Diceros bicornis minor: one gene and its partner. The protein of the gene in region 1 interacts with the protein of each later gene in a pairwise test. Links are inferred from orthologs where the notes say so. Each region holds a gene or a part of one and is shown on either strand. Other genes may lie near its edges.

Region 1 (7,488 bases):
GATCCCTTCATCCAGTACTGCCTTTCCAGATCCCACGGCACCTGTCCACACATCATTACATTTTTAATGTATTGCGCTCTTCTTAGGATTGTTTCCTATGTAAAAATCCCAGCTCAGACCTATTGTACTTCCTTGAGGAGGGTATCATTATTTACACGTAATACTCTTCTTCTGCATCTCCCAGAGTAGAACTGAGCACACAGTAGGCCTTCAAACATACTTGCAGAATTGAGGTTTTGTAGATGGGTTTCTTCTTAGGCTCCTATGGATAGTATGTGATATTTAGCACATTATTTCATCTCTTACATTATTCTATAGCATTCCACTTGAAGGGAAACAGGTACTTTATTTTTATCAGGACCGCTGGTTGACTCACAACCAAGGCCAGTAACTCAGCTTTCTGAGTTGTAGCTAAAGCATTTTTTTTTAATTGCAGCAGAACTTGGCACTTCTTATTTTACTTCACAAGGCCATATCCTAACAAGTTTCTGTTGTGAGAGGTTTCCATTTTGAAAGACAGGTGAGGCCGTGCTCCCATGCTCATCCGCGTGGGAGGATTTCCCCTCTAAGAAGAAAACAGGGTCTGGCATGGATGAAGCACCACATAAGTGTTTATTATGTAAGTGAATAAGCCTCTGCTTGGCCAAAGGGCACGGCTGTTTCCCAAACATGCCTTGCACAGCTGGTTCCTGTGTCTTTGCTCACTGTGCTTCCTCTTGCTGGTAGTGTTATCTTTTCTCCTCCCTACTTGGCTGGTTTGATATCCTTGGTGAAGACTTCCTCAACTGGCCCAAGCTTTGCTTGTGGACCATTGACTCTCCTGCTCTCCCTGTGGGTGCCACTCGGTGGCGGTCCTGAGCACCTGCTCCCAAGTTCTGCTCCTTGTCATGAAATTCACATACTCTGGTGTACAGCCCTTTAGGTCCTTTGAGTATAACATAATGCCCTGAATGTGGTATGCAATCAATACATATTTCTTGCAAATTACGAACATTCACTTGTCTTAAAAGAAATATGTTAAAAAAGAGGGTTGATAGTAGAAAAGAGAAGGAGGAAATGAGGATGGGAATCTAAACCCTTACTTAACTTAGCCATTCAGGTTTATTTCAGTGCATGCGTATTGTCTGTAAGTAGAATCTTGCTGTAGTATGTCAAGGAAATAAAACCCTTGCTTTGCTGAATTCGAACGTAAATAGATACAAGTGCCAGCCAAGTCAGCCAACAAACTCAAAATCTTGGAATGGTGTAGACAGCTGGTATGTCTTTGAACTCTGTGCCTTTTCACACCTGTTAGAGAAAAATAGGTAAGACTGATGTTGGAATTATTTCAGAAGGAGTTGATGTGCTGATTCAGAGTTATAAAGAGAATTAATCCCTTGAGTCTGTTTCTTTAGGAACCCTATAGCCTGATGAAATTCACAGGAGAAAAAAGACTTTTGAGAGACAGAAAGTGAGGCTTAGAGAACAAGGGGAGAGGAAGTCTTGACCCGAGGAAAGGTGAAAGTGAGAGGGTAAACACAGGTTAGCTCACTCTAGCTTTTAGGCAAAAACAATTTCACCAGTCATAGTTGATATTTTTCTTTAAAACTTCAATGAAATTTATTGCTTTAACAGAAAAAAAGAATTTTTTTCAGTAAGTCAATCTAAGGCCAAAATAATGAAGCAATATATTAACAGGTGCGGCAGTTCCACGGTCTCCGCCATGAGTTTACCCTTCCCTAAAAAGGCAAGAAATCAGAGGGCTGCTGGGAAGAAGACCAGTGAAGAAGACAAGAGCATTACATCTAATAGTATTTCTAGAAGATTTCATTTGGTGAAAAAGATCCAAAATTATTCCTGAGCTTTGTCTGTCCAAGGTGTCTCACAGTCTGCCCCGAGGCAACACTTTGTGGGTCTTGCCCTGGGCCATATCGCCATTGTCCAGCATTGGCCAGGCAAGGTGAGGGGGCTCAGGATGTGTTTGCTGAGGCCCGGGACATTCTGACGAGGGACAGTTGCATGTAACCTGAGTTTCTGGGAAAGTCAGAAACTCTCACAGACTTTCATAAGTGCACACAACTGTTTACTCTGCACCATCAATTACAAGCATTTAAAAAATGCTGCAAACTTTGATAGTGGCCCAAAGGGTTTAGGATATTTCAATTTTAGTTTGCAAAACACAAGAAGAGGGATGGTAAGGTGGGAGGGGAAGAGCACTGTGGCTAACATTGTCTTTGGGAGTGTCTGGCCAGACTTCCTTAGAAGATCACTATGTATTGGACATTAAGGAACACACCAAAGGGGCCTCCTCATCTATCAGGCAATGGACAACTGCACCTCAGAGTCAACTTGTTGACTCAGGCAGTCACTGTCTTAGGAACCAAAACACTGGGGGAGACGTGGTTCTTTTCCCCCTGGCTCTTACAGAACAGGGGGAAAGACAATGAAACGTGCGATTACGTGATGTGGAGAAGTACTGGGACAACGTGCTGTGAAGGGAGTATGTCCTCCCTAGGCTCCCCCAGGCAATGTCCCTCATGGCCACTCCTGTGGGATTTTGTTCATAACTCTAGTACAGCATCTACAATGTATGAGGACCCACACGTGTAAGATGGTGACCTCCTGAAGAGCAGGGCCTATGTCCTATGCATTTTTATATCCCCCGCACCTACCACCTTCTAGAACACTACATGCTCTCCATAAATGTTTGTTGAATTAATAAATGACAAATCTTGTAAATTCTGATAATGGGGTGACAGTTGGGAAGCTGATGAAAACCTGGAGAACTCAGGAATTGTGTCATGCCATAGTATTGCTCTCTGACGTTTTATTATACTCATACCCGTATTTTACAAAGAGATATAAAAGATCGTACAATGTGTATATGCTTTAGATCACAGAGAAATATAGCATGGGAGGGACAGCCTCTAACTTTTCACAGGGTTATGTTCTAGGCAATGTTTGTGACAGAAAGTACAGACAACATTCTCTCTCCAGGACGAATTCTGCCTCTAGAAAGGGAGGAACTGCAAGTCCTGAATCCAGTCTCAGGAAACAGCCGGCGCAGCTCTCTCACCTTAAGCCAGCTTACGAAATCCTATGGAGGGGCTGGAAGGTAAGCTAGAAGCTACCTAAAGCAGCCTATTCCTGCTTGTAAGTTGTGGCTCTCACTGTACCATTTAAGCAGAGTCAACTCCAGTGTAGCTTAAAAGAGTCTTCTGAGATCCTTCAATCTTTCAGTAACCAATTCAAATGTCAAGCAATTTACATATAATAGTTTCAGGTAACGCTTCCTATTGGATGATCAACATCTCCTAGGAAAGTAGAAGAGATGAGTATAAAAATTTCATTTCCTCCTCGTTGAGATACAGATCCAAGAACATTTTTCCCTGGGGTTGAGGGCTGCCTGGCGGGAGTGGTGGGCGGGCCCCAGGTTGGGCCGGGGGCGCCTGGACTGCATGCCTCTCCCAACCGCTCCCCTGGCCCTGAAGATCTCTTCTCCGCAGCATTCCTGCGCGCTGGCACCCACCTGACCTCATCTTAACATTCTATTTCTTTATGCGTTTGTCTATGCAACCTCCCATCCCAGCCCCTGAGTGCAGCGGCACCGCCTCGGTGGTCCGGGGGCGCCCTCCGGGGCCGGCACACAGTAGGAGCATAGCCTCGGCGGTTCAGGGGCCCTCCAGGGCCGGGACACAGTAGGGGCTCGCCCCTCCTGCCGTCTTCCCGTGAACACAGTGAGGCGGTCGTTTGGGCGGTCGCCGGCCGCGGCGATCCTGCGGCGTCCGGGAGCAGGTGCCTGCGCAGCGCCTGCGGCTGTCTCTCGTCGGCCGGCGACATTCAAGCTCTCGCGGCGCGGGGACCCGAGCGCCGGGCAGGCGCGTCTCTCCCAACTCCAGAGCGTGGAGGGCCGGGCGGGGTCGCGACTGCGCAGGGGGCTGCTGGGAGCCAGATTCGGGGTTTTTAACTTATTCCTGCCAGAGGGGCGAAAACGGGTCCCGAGGAGGACGGCGAGGGCTATCCCGGACTGCTGGTGCAGGTAGGCTGCACCTCCCCCCAGGTCGCCTGGCGCCGCGCACCCCGCCCCGCAGCTCCTCCCAGGAAGGACGCCCGAGCCCCTCCAGGACGCGCCGCTCCCGCGCGCCGCGGGCCTGGGAACCGCGCACCGGCTGAGCCCGGAGCCCCGCGGGGCGGCGGGACGGACGGCGCCCGCGCCCAATCGCGGGGCGGGGCCGAGGGGGCCTGCAGGCGGAGGCCAATGAGAGGCCGCGGAGCGGGCGGGGGGCGGCGCCGCCAGGCGGGCGGGCGGCGGTGTCGCTAGCCGGCGCGGCAGACTCGGAGCCCGGGAGGAGCCGGCGGAGCGGGAGGAGGAGGACGGAGGACGGAGGAGGAGGAGCAGCGCCGCGCCCCCGCCCCGGCCGCCCGCCCGCCTGCCCGCTCGAGCGCAGGCCGACAGCTCCAGCCGCAGCCGGCAGGTCCGGGCCGCCTCCCGCCGGAGCCCGGCGCGGGCCGATGGGCAGCCCCGGGCAGCGGCGGGCGGCGAGGCGGCGGCCCCGGGACGCGCCGCCACGCGCTCGCGGGCTGTAGCCGGTCCCGGCAGACTGCGTTTCAGAGGTGCGTGTCAGGGCGAGCGGATGGGAGCGAGGTGGAGTCCGCCCCGGAGCCTTCGGGTGGTGTCTGGGGACGGCCTTGGCGGGGACTGTCCCGAGGTCAAGGGGCTGCCCTTCGGGGCGCCTCGAGGGGCTGACGGCGGGCGCTCCGGAGCGCGGTGCCTGGGGCAGCGAGGCAGGGGCGCGGGGCGGGGGTCTGGCTCGCAGCTGCGCCCGCGCTCCGAAGCCCCGGGTGGAAGAGGAGCCGCCGCCGCTCCTTCTTTCAAAGTTATCGATCGGCTGAAAGATTATTCCCGTCCTGGTGACACGAGCACTAATGAGGACCTCCTCTGGGTGCCCAGCAACTCCTCTGTGACTAACCCAAGAGAAAAGAGAAAAGATAAAAGGGTCCTTGACGCGGTGCACCCGTGCGCCGGGCAGGGTTACTTGCTGAACTTGCTGCGGGGTTTATTCCCCTGGAAGGTATGCGCCACGAGCGCGCCCCCGCCGGCGCCGGCTCCCCCTTTGTAGGATCCCGAGCAGCCGGCGAGCGCGCTGCTAACTCGCCTCGACCTTTCTTCGGAGTCCCGGCGGCTCTCCCGCTTCCCCAGGCTCTGTGTCTCGCTCCGTTCTCTGCTCCAGGTCCTGTTCACGTCCCCCCATATTATTAAATCTAGTTTGACCACGTCCTGGGAATATCCCCACGAGCACCTACAGATTAATTTTCATCCGTGCCGCAAACCAAAAGAATCAATTTCAGTTCATCCTCTACGAGCGAGAGCCGATGCGTCTCGAGAAGAGAAAACAACTTGGCTTTACCCCTCTGGGAGATATTTGTCATCATTAACCTGCTTCAGTTAAATTAATTCAGTCCAAGATGACTCCAGCGTGAGTACTGGAAAAATCAAGTGCATTGGTCACGGAAGTGTGGTCACCAAAACATGATTTTGGTTAAAATAAAATTGTAGACATTTTTGTTTTTGCTTAGATTTAGACTTGGTTTTGATAAAGATGGCCTTTCTATTTTTTTAAACAAAGAATCTTGATGATTCTCATAGGTTTGCTCAGTAAGTTCGAAATAGTCACTCAGATTTTTCTTTTCTTTGCCTCTTTTGTCTGCAGTTTTCATTTCTAAATGTTAACACTAGATGGCTTTCTTATGACAGGCATTTAATAAACTGCGCTTTTGAGTTGCCTATCTGCAATCCAGGTTGTAATTTTTCCAGTTTTCCAGTTAGTAATGGGAGAAAAAAAAATCTCCAAAACTGTTACTTTCTTTGAAATACATTACTTCCCTATAAAACCAATATTTATGCAGATATCAAAAGGTGGCCTACTATTTCTGGCATTTAAAGGTGAATTTCAAGAGACAACTTGGTTACTATTTTTAGTCACAGATTTAAGGATGTCTGTTTCATGTTTTGACTTATTTGAGGAATTCAAAGTTCTATGGTAAGACATGGAATTCTACTTACAGGACATTTCCACTTAGGTTGTTTACTGCTTGATTTAGTAGTTCACTGCTTGATTCAGAGAGATGTAAAAGAATATTATCATGGGAAAGTGCAATCTTTTTTGAGTTTCGGATGCAGATAGCATTGATTCTTCCTAAAGATTCCATTGATGCATTTGGGGAAGAGATGTAGTTGAGGTATATATGCATGATTCATACTGAGGATTGTGTTAGGGACACCTTTATTTCTTTCTCCCTAGTTACATTTGGTTTTTCATTTCTAAGTACAGCTCCTTTTATGAGAAGTACGGTAGTCTGTAGTTGGCCATTTCAGTGGCTGTGAGATCTCAGTTACCTGTTTTAAGTACTTTTTTTTCTAAAGCAAGACCTTGGCAGCCTGTCCAAATCTTGTCTAGGTAGGCAAACTTATTTATAAGCTGGAGAAATATCTTGAAATTATCTTTATAGCTGTCATTTGTGTGTCTTGCCCAGCTTAAAATATGATATGTTGAATTTGTTTGTTCTAAATTAGAGTGTATTCAGAAATAGCTGAAGGAAAAAAAACTCTCCAGCAAACATCTGGGAAGTAGGAAATGAAATGAAATCAGAAACAGCTTTTATCAGTACCCACATGCTACCTATAGATGGAGTGAAATGAACTTGGATAAGAGGCACTGCAAGCATTTGGTCCGGAAAATAAAGCAAGAGACAAACTATAGGTAGGGAGGTGGAGCTTCTGGCTTTGGAGTATGGGCCGCAGATTTTCCCTGGCTGGTTTAAGTATGTTTTTCATCAAATGCTTTTTATGTTTTTAAATCTTAGCCTTTCTCAAAGAGCTTTCATTTTATGGAATGTAAGAGGGGAATTATCAGAGCATCATAACTTTGACGTTTATGATGCTTATTGTAGTTAAAGCTATGTGATATTGGTTTGTAAGTTTTTTTTTCCTTGAGACTGGAATGGTATTTTCAAGGGTTCCTTGATACCTGAACTTAGTAAACACCTGTCTACGTTGGGGATCTTTTTACCTGAGGCAAAAGGAGTAATGGGTTATTCATTCTGTAAGACTATCTATTCTTGCAAGTGAGGAAATACTAGTGAGCTACCCTGAAAGGGCACTCATCTGGTAATTGAAACTGATTTAAATGTGTTTGGTCATCAAAACTAGTGTAAAAGGGGTTGTGTTTACTGCATACTTTGGAAAGAACTATGTGTTTATGTGGATCTAGCCCCCACCCTGCAGCCATGATTGGTAAATGCAAGGTTTTTTTTGAGATTGAGGTAGGCATGGAGCCTTTGAATTTATGATCTACTTGTGGTTTAGGATTACAAATCCTTTCAAAGGTGCTGAATTTGAAGAAAATTTAGACTGTTATTGTTAACTGAAAAACAAAGGTTTTTTTTTCCTGTTTTGAACTTGAATGAATTATGAACAGTCCTAAAGAATACAGGGAACCATGTTCCAGA
Region 2 (7,910 bases), about 8.9 Mb from region 1:
TGTTGACAGTAGGGATGGAGTAAAATGAAAAGATAAGAGAGTGGGTTAGCAGTTAAGTGTGCGTGCTCCGCTATTGGCAGCCCGGGTTCGCATCCCGGGCACGCACCCACGCACCGCTTCTCCGGCCATGCTGAGGCGGCGTCCCACATACAGCAATTAGAAGGATGTGCAACTATGACATACAACTATCTACTGGGGCTTTGGGGAAAAAAAGGAGGAGGACTGGCAATAGATGTTATCTCAGAGCAGGTCTTCCTCAGCAAAAAGAGGAGGATTAGCATAGATGTTAGCTCAGGGCTGATCTTCCTCACAAAAAAAATAAAAATAAAAAGAAGAAGAAGAGATAAGAGAAATATTTAGGCCTGCGCAAAGATTAGGTGGTAGAAGGGGAGGAGATGAGAGGGAAATGAGGCATTTAGCCCTGGTCCTGTATAATCTGCCCCAATTCTGGATATATTTGACCCAAATGGATATATTCAAAAGGCTATTGTATATATAGGTCTGGTGCTTCAGAGAGAAGCCAAGTTGGAGATAGATTTGTGAGTAATCATGATTGTTTGTTAAGAGGAATTGTAACTACAAGAATAAAACTACAAAGAGAGAATGTGCATAGTAGAAGAGAGCCTATGGAAGGAACTCCAACATTTGAGTAGCAGCTGAGTCCATAAAGTGGGCCTAAAAATAAAAAAACTAAGAAGATGTGGCTGAAGAGGGATAAGAAACAAAGGGGGGAGGGTAACGGTTTGTAGTAACTAGAGTGTGTTACCAGAAGATTGGAGTAGTAAACATTTCAAATAGCACAAAGAGTTAAAGCTACAAGAAGAACTGAAAATGACTGTTGATTTAACAGTGTTTTTCAACTTTCTTTTCATTATTGCCTGCTAAGGGGACTTGTCAGACTTCCCTTCATTCACACCCCTCCTCCATAAAATTTTAATACCACCGAATATATATCTGTATATCTCTTTACATATTGTAAATATATCTGTGCTTTATACATAAAAATAGCATGATTTTTTTGCCTCACAACAAGCAATATTTGTCCCTACTGAGAATGTATGATTTAACACATAGAGGACATTGGTGATCTTAGTAAAAATAGTTTCAGTGGTAGTTCAGTACAATGATGGAAACAAGATATACTGCAGTGGGCTGAGAAAGTGGGAAAAACAGACATACGGAGAGTAGATGATATATTCAAGAACTCTAGCTGTGAAGGGGATGAAAAGACAGGAAAGTAAATGGGAGTGGTTCATAAAGGAAGAATATTTTTAAATACTGAAGGAAAGGTGTGAGTAAAGGGGGAAAGGCTAATGAGGAGGAGAGAGGGAATAAGTGAAAAAAAGAGGACCCTGAGAAGACAGAAAAGGATGGTATTGGGAGACTAAGTGAAAGGATTTGCCTTCCCTAAGAAGAAGGGACCCTTTTTCTTCTTTAAAGAAAAGGGGAGGTTTGTGTATTCGGTTGCAGGAAGATGATGGCTCTATTATCTCTGTGTAATAGGAGAGAAGGACATTTGTAGAGGGAGAGAGAATTCCTTTTCTCTACAAATATCATTTGCTACTCATAAATTGAGATATTATAGAGCTACTTAAAAACATCTGGTCTGCAGGGAACTCCAATAGTATATTATGTTGAATGTTTAGAAATATTGTAAAAATCCTAACATTCAGCAAGAAAAGTTAATCTTATTGTAAAGAGAGCTTTCCTACTAAAGATATGTAAATTTCAGGTACTTCTTCACTCACTTCATTCCTCCACTTTTCCCATGGTCTCAACTGAAAGTGTCCTCCTTTCTTTCCAAAACCAATCCACTTGTAATTTTGATCCCATTCCCTTCCCTTTTTTCCTAGGTCTTATCTCTCTTGAATCTTTAATCTTATACATTGGTTACTTGTTTTCTGCACCAAAACATAATGTGCCTTGTATTCTTTAGAAAAACAAATCCCAAACCTTTTAGAGACCTTGCCACCCTCAAAACTCTTTTGCTTCATGCTCCAAATGAAGAAGGATTAAGTCTACACTTGCAGCCTCTCCTCTCAGTAATCTACTCTATTTAAAGCAGCTCTCTCAAGTGGCCCAATGACTTCCTAATCATCGAATCCAACGACCCATTTTCAGACTTCAACTTCCTCCTTTGACCCTTGCAGCATTTCACATAACTGATAACTTTCCCCCAAACAAAACGAACACTTCTTACTCTATTATGTGAAACTTCACCTGATTTGGTCCTCACCTTGAAAATTTCTTTCCGGCTTACTTTCCAGGCTTTTTTTTTTTTTTCTTTTTAATCTTTCTACCATCTCCACTTAAACCACGGTTTCAAACTTGATATATCCCAATTTTATAGTGGCACCACTTTCTTAACCTGTAGGCTATAAGCTTCAGCTTCAACCCAAATCCACCAAATCCAGCAAGCCACATCGCTCATCACTTTTCCATACTCACTGCCACCTCCTCAGTTTAGATTTCCGTCACCTCTCTTCTAAGAACTGCAACACCCTCTTCACTGTATTCCCCACCCCAGGCTCATCCAGGCGCCACCCTCTAACAGGACGTCCGCTCAGGTCAGTCAGAGGTTTTGTCCTCCACAGCAAAAGCCTGGGGCTGAGGTCCGAGTCGTCAGTACTCCAGCTCATTGTGGGTGACAAGACTTTTTCCCGAGCCAGAGCACGGAGAGGGACCCCAAAGAGCTTGAACCTCTTGGGCCTGGGGCCGGAGAACCCTGGGCTCCAGGTGCACCGCTCCCTTCCGGCCCTCCTGGCAAGGAAGCCCGGAAGGCCGGGAGGGAGGAGCGGTCCCGGCCCACAGCACCAGAGATACTCCTGCAGCCCAGCCTGGGATCCGGAGCCACAGCTACTCAGCTTACTCCCCAGTTTTCGAGCTGTCCCCTGTCCGCAGACTCCCCTCCCCTCACACTCACCCCAACACCTGGGCCTGTCAGTGATTCGGCGCCGGGTCCTTTCCGGACGGAGGCTGAGGAAGCTTCGAGGGCCGTGAGGACCCCGCAGGTGGAGTGCCCAGTAGATTGCCTTACTGACAGCTTCAAAGAAACCACCTCGTTCCACAGTCTTGAAAAGATTAAACAAGCGGGAAGACGGTGAATGAGAAGAAAGATGTCTCTTGATGTTTAAGATCTAAATCTTCTAGATCACCCAGAATCTAGAAGAATGGGCGATTTCTGACCATATGGACTCAGGCGCTCATGCGCAGCCTAACTCAGTCTGGGGTCCCCCTACTGTCCGGTGGGCGGGGTCAGGAGGGCTATGTTTTAGCCAATTGGTGCAACCGACGGGTAGAGCCAATGGCTGTGGGTGGGGGAGGCACGGACTTAGAGGAGTCGGGAGGGGCGGGGTTCGGAGGAAAGGAGGCGGTGATGCGAGGAGGGGGCGGGGCCAGAGAGTCGAAGGGGTGGGGCGTGGGCTGGAGCTTAAGTAGGGTGGGAGCGCGAAGATGGCAGCGGCTGAGGAGGAGCGGAAGCCCAAGAAGCTAAAGGTGGAGGCGCCGCGAGCGCTGAGGTGAGGGCTACCCGACGTAGGGTGGAGGGCGACGGCGTCTGCCGCTAACCAGGGCCCACGTGGGGTTGCGCGGCTCCGGCACTGGGTGGTGCCTTCGCTGCGGGCATGGGGCCAACACGGAGGACCGGCTGCTCGGGGAGCTGCCCGCAAGGCTGCGACCCCTCAAGCGGTGCCCGCCCAGTTTGGCCGAATCGCCGCTGCTCTGGAGCGACTCCGGCCGCCTTTGGCCAATCAGAACGCCAGCCGAGGGGTGGGGGTGGGAAGGCCGAGCCAGCTGTGGCCAGGCTGCGGGCGCCACGTGGGAGCCCTCCCTGTCGGTACTGTGACCCCCAGAGGAGGAGATTGGACCAGAGCAGTCATACGCGGCCGCCTCCTCTTCGCTGGGGGTTAACGAGGAGGAGGCCCAGCTGCTGCTCTACGCTGAGGCAAAGAAAGAATTATCGGGGATTTTTCGTCAAGTGTCCCAAGAGGACGATTTGACCTTTCTTTTCGTTCACACTCTGAAAGTTGGCACCTTTGAAGACCCTCTATCAGGGACATACACCCGGCCTCCGAGGCTTTACCGGGGCCGTCTTTGGCTGAATGGATAGGAAAGGTTGATTTTTCTTTCCACGTTTTGGCAGCAATGGGGACAGTTCTGCCCCTAACACCTGCCTCACATGTGCTTGATGATGCAACTTTTACTTGTAAAAAGTTGTTTGCTAAAATATTCCTTCCTAATAAGTATAACATGCAGCGCGCACAGTCCTTGATTTTGAAATGTTCGTTGGGAGGCAGTGGTTTTTTAATCTAAAAATAGACATATCAAATTGATTTAAAACTATTAGGACACTCCTGATTATAAAAGAGAAATCTTGTTTCTTCCAACATTACCCTTTTTTTCCTCCAAAAGAATGAATCATTCAGAATTGAAAAGAAAAGTTCACAGGGGCCTGGCGGAGTGTTCATGCTGTTTTGAATTGACAGTGACCAGTGCCTTTAATGCATTCCTCCTACCCGTACCTACCTTATACGAAGAAAATAAACTTTTTTTTAACAACTCAAGATGTTCTATTTTTATTTTAAGCTTTCAAACTATAGAGTAAAGCAAAGGCTTTACCTGGGTGCGAGGCATGTGCTCTCCCTTCTGGGCCCATTTTTAGAATATTTCCTTAAAAGGCACCTCCTACATAAAGTTTCCTCTACCGAGTTGGAAGACAGATGCAACTTTTCCCTACTATCTTACTAGACATACGGCCTTAGGTTTTCCCTTATGCTAATCCATTGTCAAAGTGGTTTCCTGTTTTACAGATGAGGAAATTGAAGCCCAAATTAAACACTTAGATAAGGAACTGAAATACGGATCCAGAGCATATGCGTGCAAGTTGATTGTTGTTTGACTCTACTATGCCTATTTTTATACAGCCACCCAAGATACACTTTTCTCTGCCTATGCATCCTTAAAAATAATGATAAATTCTAATGTTTAATACTTAAGTATGTGCTGGGCATTGTTTCAGCATTTTATCCATTTTAACTGATTGAATCCCACAACAACCCTACAAGGTAGATACTATAATCTCCATTTTACCAGGGAGGAAAGAGCCATAGAGAGGTTAAGTAACTTGATCAAGGTCACCTATCTAGTAAGTGATGGGGTTGGGATTTTAATCCAGGTAGTCTGATTCCAAGTCTGTACTCTTAATTACCATGCTATACTTATTAACTTAGAGCAGTTTATCCAGAAACCCTAGTGAACTGTTAACTCAGTTTTTGTTTCTCTACTTTTGCTTCTGTTTTTTTGTTAGTGTACATAACTTTTTATGTTGTTGCAATATATGGGCATATGATACATAATAATTCTTAAATACATATAATGCATTTTATATATATATATATTTTTATATATGCCATTAGTGTAATTTAAAATTTGTAAAAGTCCTTAGGCAACTAAAACTCATTTTATACAATATCTACTTAGTTAGTGCCACCTCTAGACATGAAGTTAAGGATGAGACGCTTGAGTACTGGGACAAATCTTTTAATTTTGTGTAAAGACCTTTTGGAATTGGTTCTTCCTACTTTCATTATATTAGTTTGGCTTTAAGGATTGCAGTGTGATAATGCACTGAGTGGTTAGACTGCATGCATTATCTCTGATGACTGCTTGACAGTTAAGGGGCTAGTTAACAGTTCCGATTAACTTTTAAGGAGAAAGGCTTATAAAATCTAAGCATAATTTAATGTGTAGAATCAGTGAGTGGGGAACAAATACATTTATGAGATATATTTGTAGATGTCAGGGAATGGATTAGAGCTTTGTGAGAATTTCATTTAGCTCTGAGGTAGCAGTTGTCAATGAGGGGAAATTTTGCCCCCCGGGGGACATTTGGCAATGTCTGGAGACATTTTTGGTGGGGAGTGCTAGTGGCATCTAGTGGGTAGAGGTCAAAGATGCTGTTAAACATCCTACAATGCACAGAGAGCCCACTACAACAAAGAATTATCCAGCCAAAATTGACAGTTGTGTTGAGATTGAAAAAACTCTGCTCTACGGAAAGCATCTGACAAGTCTAGCCTCTCTTTTTCAAATATCCATTATTTTCTAGGTTGGATTGCTTTTCAGGGGAAAGCAGTTACTAAAGTTGCAAAGAAATAGGCAGGCTCTAACATGTTTTGCATTGGGTTGGGGAACAGAAGGGAACATTAGTTGAGTCCCAGACTTTATACTCCCTGCTTTATATATGCTATCTCATTTAATTTTCCCAGCAATCTGTGAGGTAGCAGTAGTGATCCCCATGTTACAGGTGAGATATTTAGGGCTGAAAAAAGTTCAGAAGCATTCTCGGGAACTGCTCCCTAGATGAAGATGTTCCATGATGATTACCTATATCTAGGACCACATAGTTCTTTTTTCTCCTTTGGAAATCTCATCCAAGTTCATTTCTTTAGTGGTCACATCTAAGAGGATACAGTTCCTTCCAAGTCTTGTTGAGCACATGCCAAGTCTGTTCTTTCAGTCAGACTTTTAAGTGCCTGCTAATTTAGGCATAGTGCTAAATATTAGGTACATATATATAGAGAGGTAAGACTCAGGTACCACCCTTTTGGTGGGAAATGAGTAGGGTTTGGGAAAATGATACCTGAGCATTCTGAAAGATGACAAGGAATAAACCAGGTATAAAGTAGGGTATGTGGCTTTATAGGAATGTTTGTTTAGAGGTGGAGATGGAGGAGAGCTGCCTCTGTTGGGGAACTACAGATGGTTTGGTTTGGCTAAAGCAGAAGATGTAGGGATTCCAGGCTTTGTACTGGAGGGTTTCACAGGTGTGATCTTTCTATCTCTATATCCTTCAGCTCTCAGACCCTAATTTTAACTATCTGCTCAATATCTCCTTCTGAGTGTCTTGCTGACACTTCGAAGTCATATGTACCAAACTAAATACACCTGTTGTCCTAAATCTGCACCTTCTTCTATGGTTCCTGCATCTGTTAACGGCACCACTAACTGCTGTTTCTCCAAAGTTTAGAACTTAGATATTTGCTTCATTTTCCATCCACATGTAGTTATCAAAGTTGGTCTTTTCTTCTTCAGTAATGTCTTATAAATGCCTTTCCTTTTCCATTCCTGCTGCAACAACTCAAGTTTAGACTGTGTCTTGCTTAGACTTTGTATTGGCTTCCTAACTAGTGTCTCTACTTCCACTCTCAAGTTCTGCCTAATCTTCTTCAGGCATAGCTTTACTTATTCATCATAGCAAATATTTGTAAGCTCTGAAGTTGATGTTAGGAAGAGTTGAATCCTAAGAGCCCACATTGTAACTTTCTCTGACATTAGCAATTAAAGAGTGTTCTGAGTCATGACTTTTAATACTAAAAAGGAAACAAACTGCAATTCTCCAATCAGCAAATGTTGAGCTTTTCTCAAATTATTGCTTCCTAACCATTTCACTTGGACTCCCCTCCGCCACCATCTCGTACCTCACTAAGGACCCTGTGTTTTAAAATTGCATGGTAACCCTAGGAATAAAAGTCTGTAAGTATCTTAGGTGACCAAGCAACAACTTCAGTAACCTCTTCTTCCAAACCACATTTTTTTCTCTTTCAGAAAATTCTCTGGAAGATTACTTTATTTTTATAAACTGAACACACTGTTCTTGGAGGGGTCATTGTGAGGATTAAATAAGGAAAATATATGCAGACTGGAAAAGAGAAAGGATGATTGTGTGTCCTTAGTGTTGCACAGTGCCTGGTCGTTAGGAGCTGTTCAGTTAATGTTTGTTGAATGAATTAATCTGCACAACATAGGGTGGGACTGATAACCTTCACTTTTCTAGAACTTATATTTTTATTAACGCAGCCTGAAATTGAGTTTGGCTCTTTTTGGATGAAATAGCATGCTGTTCACTTATA

What was found.
Region 2: the proteins of SIPA1L2 (region 1) and AP3M1 interact in binary tests that used the Homo sapiens proteins (3 or more experiments, as listed by UniProt). The two-hybrid records come from large-scale screens. The link is inferred for Diceros bicornis minor from reciprocal best matches to the Homo sapiens genes SIPA1L2 and AP3M1.

What each region holds. Positions count from the first base shown.
Region 1 is NC_080745.1:23,700,794-23,708,281, forward strand, and holds the start of SIPA1L2 (signal-induced proliferation-associated 1-like protein 2), read left to right. Parts: upstream 1-4,355; 5' UTR 4,356-4,593; intron 4,594-7,488.
Region 2 is NC_080745.1:32,589,047-32,596,956, reverse strand, and holds the start of AP3M1 (AP-3 complex subunit mu-1), read right to left. Parts: upstream 3,197-7,910; 5' UTR 2,924-3,196; intron 2,767-2,923; exon of another isoform or gene 2,237-2,766; intron 1-2,236. Other genes in the region: ADK (adenosine kinase), read left to right, coding at 3,454-3,518. UniProt on the Homo sapiens protein: Part of the AP-3 complex, an adaptor-related complex which is not clathrin-associated. The complex is associated with the Golgi region as well as more peripheral structures.